2 linked regions of the Coturnix japonica genome follow. The protein of the gene in region 1 purifies or fractionates together with the protein of each later gene. This does not show direct contact. Links are inferred from orthologs where the notes say so. Each region holds a gene or a part of one and is shown on either strand. Other genes may lie near its edges.

What was found.
Region 2: the proteins of TACC3 (region 1) and ENAH purify together in Homo sapiens (co-immunoprecipitation; 3 studies listed by BioGRID and IntAct, with this or other methods). This does not show direct contact. The link is inferred for Coturnix japonica from reciprocal best matches to the Homo sapiens genes TACC3 and ENAH.

Annotation. Positions count from the first base shown.
Region 1 is NC_029519.1:76,056,019-76,058,925, reverse strand, and holds the end of TACC3 (transforming acidic coiled-coil-containing protein 3), read left to right. Parts: coding exon 1-1; intron 2-804; coding exon 805-911; intron 912-1,080; coding exon 1,081-1,201; intron 1,202-2,033; coding exon 2,034-2,102; 3' UTR 2,103-2,210; downstream 2,211-2,907. UniProt on the Homo sapiens protein: Plays a role in the microtubule-dependent coupling of the nucleus and the centrosome. Involved in the processes that regulate centrosome-mediated interkinetic nuclear migration (INM) of neural progenitors.
Region 2 is NC_029518.1:15,085,844-15,089,670, reverse strand, and holds part of ENAH (protein enabled homolog), read right to left. Parts: intron 1,860-3,827; coding exon 1,694-1,859; intron 577-1,693; coding exon 399-576; intron 1-398. UniProt on the Homo sapiens protein: Ena/VASP proteins are actin-associated proteins involved in a range of processes dependent on cytoskeleton remodeling and cell polarity such as axon guidance and lamellipodial and filopodial dynamics in migrating cells.

The sequences.
Region 1 (2,907 bases):
AGTAAGATGCTGTAGAGCAAACGATCTTTTAAGATAAATTAGCCTTCTGATCTTTTGAAGGTGGAAAGGAAGTTACTAATTTCTTCTGCAGCCATTAATTGAATGGCGGATGTACTACCTGTAAAACAAGTTGTCTGCTTTAAAGATTAAAAAATGACCTGTTATATTTAGTGTCTGGTTTAAAGTGTGATGATGAACTTTCTGTTAGAAGACAAGATTTCCTCAAACAAAATGAGCTTTCTCCTTTTGTATGCATATCATTTTTTCTGTTAAGCACAGAGAATAAATCCCATGTAACTAATTGTTGCATGAGGGCAACTTGTTTTTGCATACGTAGCACTGAATGGATGCTGAAGAAGGTTTTCTATTACAAGTCAAACTCATACTTTACTGGATTGTTTAGCTTAAACTGGTAAACATATCCATGGACTGGAATAATGGAGCTAATAAGGATCACAGACTATGGTGACTTGTATGAATTGCATAAGCTTATTTAACATAAACCTATGCATGACTTCCTTTATCATGCATCCCTTCTATTGCTGCATTTGGAATTCAGAAGCTATTTCCTTAGCACAGAACTAAAGCATCTTTTAGAAGCAGAGTGAATTGCTAAGTTCAAGAGCTGTAATTAGTAGAAAGACTTAGACTTGTTTCCATGCTTTTATGGAAGTTGATAATTGTACTTAGTATTCTGAGCAAATGCTGTCATTTTGGTACGGTTAAGTAGCTGATTTGTGAAATGGAGTTAGACTTTTCCACCTACAAGTACATAAAATCTAACTAAACATGTTTCTGGGTCAGAATGAAGAGGCTTTGAAAAAATGTGCTGAAGAGTATCTAGCTAGAATTAAGAAAGAAGAGCAGAGATACCAGGCACTAAAGGCACATGCTGAAGAAAAGCTGCAACAGTAAGTACTATGAGAAAAAGCTAATTGCTGTAAAATGTGGCCCGTTAATGCCAAATCTTGGCTTAAAATATTTTTCTTATTACTGTTCAAGTACAATGAACTAGTGTGATTCTATGAACTGTTCTGCTATGCTGTCTGAATATAAATGCCCGTATTTCTTCAATTCCAGAGCAAATGAGGAAATTGCCCAGGTACGAAACAAAGCTAAATCAGAAACTGCAGCCCTACAAGCCAGTCTCCGCAAAGAACAGATGAGGATCCAGTCTTTAGAGAGGAGCCTTGAACAAAAGGTTTGTCAAAATGCCATGAGTCTCTTTAAGCTATTGCCTTAGACTACCTCGAGATCTTGTAGCAGTACCACTGTGTGTGCTGGTTTTGGAGACTGCTCTCTAGGTGGGCTTTGGGAAATAAGCATTGAAGCTTAAGGCAGAAGTCAAGTATGTCAAGACTCACCTTGTATATACAGATCTTTTTTTGGAACAGAAAGGCTTGTTCCTTTAGACGAGTCACAGAATTGATCAGTCCAGGTTGCTGCATCTGAACTACTAATGGAGATGGTGTTCTAAAACTTAAGCATCTCCAAGAGTAGAAGCTGTGAACAATCTTGAATAACTGTCTGAATTAGCACATCTAATAAGCATTTACTCTGTAAGCCATTAGTACTAGTACAAACTCTTTCAATGTTGTTCAGGCTCTAAATCCTTGGTTTGGATTGCAGTCTTCATACTGCATAGATGAAGTTTTAAGATGCTTCTTAAAGGCACATTGGTTTCATTTACTGGAACAAATAAGTGGAAATGTTCTACAGAGATGTCTGTGTTGTGAGATCTAAATTGTTGCTATCATTTCAAATGTCAGTATACCTAACAAAATGAATGTGTCTAAAAATCATGTACCTATGATCTTTATAGACAAATTCTTCTAAGGAAATCCAGAAGCAGAAAGTACAGTGAATTTAGCTCACTTCTTGGGAATTTTTACAAAGTAGACTGTCCTTTGGGTTAAACCTATATAGTTTGCTAGCATGTAAGTGAACTTTCTGTTGTATGCTAGGAAAGGTCACTACTTGCCTTTAACTTAGCTTACACATACCTGCAACTCTTCTTTTTCTATCTTTAACAGACAAAAGAAAATGATGAACTAACGAAGATTTGTGATGACTTGATTCTGAAGATGGGAAAAGATGACTAACTCAGTTGTCTCTGTAAATATGTCTAGTTTCTTTGATTTCCTGTCCTGTGTTCATTCTTGTTTTTAATTATGTATGTGGAGAAAAAAAAATAAAATACTTAATTTGCACTTCTTGTGTATCTCTTGCAGGAAATGTCAACTTACTGACAGGTTCACTTGCTGCTTTTGGTGTCAGCATCTTGTGTAGCATTTTGATGTATGCCACTCAAAGGAAAAGCTTTTAGTTGTATCCTCAGTCTCTTCTCTGTGTGAGAGCACACAGCTCCTGTGTTATGATCTGGCTCTATTGATAAGGGTCATCATGGGCCGTGTCTGTATCTTGCACTTTGTTCTAATTTCAGTCAAAACATTCCAAAGATACAGGACTGTAACAGAACTTGACCTGCCAGCAGATGCTAGAAAGAACTGAAAGTTTATGCAGAAATTCTGTCCTGTCAGTTGTGACTTATATTCCCTCATTCTAAAAGGACATTGCTTATGGTTGAGAAGCTTCAGCAGACTTTCTCGATGTTTGCAGCAAACCAGGCCGATTACTAATCCTGACAGTGAGTAGTAAGCAGAATGTATAGAACTACTTTGTACTTTGTGCACTTGCAACCTGAACTTTGGGATGGGATTGTTCATTTAGTGCTGTAAAAACTTACAACTTCAGCTTTTATTTTGTGTTGTATTTGTCTGTGTACATGTCTGTACATACTCATAACTGAGCTGAAGTGAGCCTGTTTTTAGACAAGCTAAGCAGCCAAGGGACTGGATAACAATACAGACTTGCTTTCCACTCTATTACTATGATATCAAAGTCCTC
Region 2 (3,827 bases), on another chromosome or scaffold:
ATGTTCATAATAAACAATTACTCCTGGGAAGGAAAAAACATTGACACGCATTTAAAGCACTGAATAGTTTTAGAAATCCTGAAAAGTACCCTGATTAAGAGTTACATGTTTCTTGATAAGGTAATTTTTTTTGTTTCCCAAAAAACATGAAGTCAGTAAGTTTCTACGTATAAGAGATACCATGAAAATAGATTTTGTTTTTACAAGCTGCATCCACATGGATGGCATCAGATTAAGAATCGCTGTTAATCAGCAGCACAAAACACCCAAAGAAGTAAATGCACTAGAGGCTTAATCATGACTAGAAACAAGACCTACTGACTTTTCTGCATAAACATTCAAATGTTTCCATCCCTATTTGATCTCTACTTAAAAAAAAAAGAAGTTAAAAGACTTACCAGCTTCCTGTGAATTTAATACTTCTAAGGCATGCATCATGGCACTTGCGAAGACGTTGGCATCTTCTTTGCTGCCAAAATTCAGACCATACACTTGTCTAGCATCACGCCACTGATGAAAGGTCTGTGTAGCCTGATTGTACTTGAGCCCTTTTGGAATGGCACAGTTTATTACCACCTATAACAGTTAACAAACGAAATAAATAAAATTGCTGCTTCATTGCAAGTTTCATTTAGATTTTACGGAGCAATATAAAGAGTTCTGACTTTTAGTAGCAAAGTAGTTGTGAAAATGCATCTGGATTTCAGAAACTGCCTTGGTTTTCTATTAATCTCAGAGTACTTGTTAGAATACATGTATATTTTTCATGAAATTATCACCTTCCTCCTGTGGATGCTGCATCCCTTAGCTTGCAGTGCTTTCAGCAGCAGCTTACATGGACTTCTACTACACATCATAAGGTATCATCCTGCAAGACTGTTACAGCTCACACAAAAGGTGATAAATTCTACCAGTACAGCAACCATTTATTATCAGCCATCCACTAAGATCTCATTGCACTTGGATAACAATATCTTCTCAGTATTTTCTGCTAACAAAAAAAAAAAAACACCAAAAAAACCTGTCCTTAGATGAATACACAGGTATTATTTATTTCAACAAGTTCTTAGTGAGAAATCAGACAAGGTATTTTCAGACTACACCTCACGTACATGACAGAAGATCAACAGAAGAGAATCATTTCATGAAATGCTGGGAAAGGAGTGATAGATAGAAATTTTCCTCAAACAAAAAGATAACTCCAAGCAGAGCAAATTTTAAGACAGAGTGCCAGACTGTTATTTAATCAAGATCTATTAAATTCCTCAGCAAGGAATCACAGTTTAATCATTACTGCTCCCTTCTCCAGTCCTCAGGGTAGTAGATGTTTTTTGGAATAAACTGACCTGAGGAAATGAGCAAGAAGAAGCAAGAAGCAAGAATAGAAGTCCTTAGATTTAAACTTTGGCTTAAAGAGAACCACATAACCTATATCTACACTACTATTCTTCCTCCCTGCATTTCCTGTAGGACGGAATGCTAAAGACTGCACAAGGAGAATCACTTTAAAGATATACAAAGAGTTTAGTTTTATGGGGAAAAGTTATAATAAAGTTTCATCATTCAAGTTAAAAATGAAAGTAAATTTACTATTTGTAGCTCCCAAATTTCTGAAGATGTATTTCTTAGTGTTAACAAGAAGCAAAAAAATTAGCTTGAAGTTCTTATTCAAATTTTTCAGAGATTCACTTACCTGATGATCTTGAATCTTCCTGCCCACAACTCTGAATGTGTTGTTGCCTGTGTGATGATATATGTGAACTCTGCTGAATCCAGTTGATCCACCAGCTGGTACCCATTTCTTATTGGCATCATCATAGACCATTACAGCAGCTCGTGCTTGGCAGATACTCTGTTCACTGTTAAAATACAAGTATTTCGGATCAGAACATTAAAATTCTTTTCACTGAGAAAGTTAAGGTAGCGCTCCTTGCATCTTACTCACTTTCCATTAATTCAAAACTGCTATCATTCGACAATTTGCTAACAGGCAATCTTCTGAGCACGTGCAGTATAGACAAGTACAGTACAACTACTAATAAAAAAAAGCATTTCCTTTCTTTGCACCTTTTCTTAGCAGTTTTCTTTACATATTTTCTTTTGTCCTCTTCACCACTTAAGAACTTTCTAATCAAATGCTAAAGCAATATACAACATTTTGGACCAACAGTGAAGAACAAAGAATCTGGAGCTGTACTAGCTTCATACAACTTGCATTTTCCAAAGGGCAACTACTTCTACAAGAAGACTGGAATGCCCCGGCTCCTGTTAACATATATGAGGAAACAAATACAAATGCATGCAGGCACACATAGATGAGGTTCAGCGCACAGAAGTTTATCTTCTCATAAACAAAATGCTTTTCCATTTTGATGTATTTTACATCAGTTAGCACCTGGAATTTACATTTCCTCCCTAAGGAAAGGTTCTGTTGATTACTGAAAACTGCAGTTTCAACATCAGGGGACTTTACTGACGTCCACAGCTAATCCTGATTACAGCAGTCATCTGAAAGCTAAGGCACAGCCTAAAGTTAAAGGGAGAATACCATGAATGGCATCATAACAGAAATGAAACTAAGGAAAGCAGAATGTACTGGAAACAGGATTTATTGGAGGGGTGTGGATGGGACAACACAAGTTGTCTTTGCAGGAAATGTCCAGATGCAGACAGGACATAAAAATAGAAAGGAATGATTTCTTATCAGTATGCCAAATTCTCTGAACACTGCACTCCAGCAGACCCAGCATTACAGAAAACACATGAGATGCCTGGCTTGCAAAGAATGTGGTGCACCCAGTTGGAGGACGGAGAACGCTGAGGAGACATGCATTTATTTAGTTTTTTAAATGAATCACAGAAGGATAGTCATGAAATATTTGTCCATAAAATATCAAAGTGGAGAACACAACTCCCCACACAGCCCTACTAAAAAAAAAGACAAGAATCAAGAGATTTCCCAGTATCTCATCTCCAGACACAAGAAAACACAGAAACACATCCAGCTGCTTTGCTAGCTTTCAATGACAACGGTTTTGACAAAACACAATTTCCACCACACTTCCCCCACAGCTCTCCAGCAAACAGAGTAAATGCTCGACACCAGAATAGTGGAGAAGAGAGAATAAAGAAATCACGCTTCTTACAGCAGCAACAGATTCAAGATCAGATGAAGAAATACACTCTCAACTCTAAAATGACATTTATTCTAGTCTCACAATCTAAGCTCATAACAGGAGAACAACCTTTCAGTAGGCCACCTTTTTTTCCAGACAGAAATAATTTAAATACAGGTAGAGTAAAATTATAACATATGAACTATACTGGGAAAAGAAGTACAGTATACACATCTTAAAATCTACCACTTAGACCTAAAGGACCACATCTGGTCCGTATCTGGTCCAGAGAGAAACATTAGCCGCAAAGACTCTCCTACTCCTGTGAATAAAATATCTAATCTCAGGAGCTTCAAAAGTCGTATTAAAAAGCACAGCACAGGTAGGATGGCGTTCCCTCATCTGAGCAGAGTGCAATTCAAAAACATATTAGATTTCCCTATTTAGACTATTTTGGCAACAATCTTACCAATGTTCAGATCCAGAAATACTCAGCATTGTTCACAAAGTAAAAACTAGTGGTTTTCCACATTACAGAGAAGTTTGAACCTACAACAGTTTTCCTAAGTCTGAATCTGGGTTCACCATAGGCATGATAAACCATAAGTGACAGCGCCTAGATACTGATTTGGAAACAGAGCCACGTGGCCTGCAGAGTTCCCGTCAAAAAATAACTTCACCTCAGATTCACAATCATGCAGCAGACAAAAA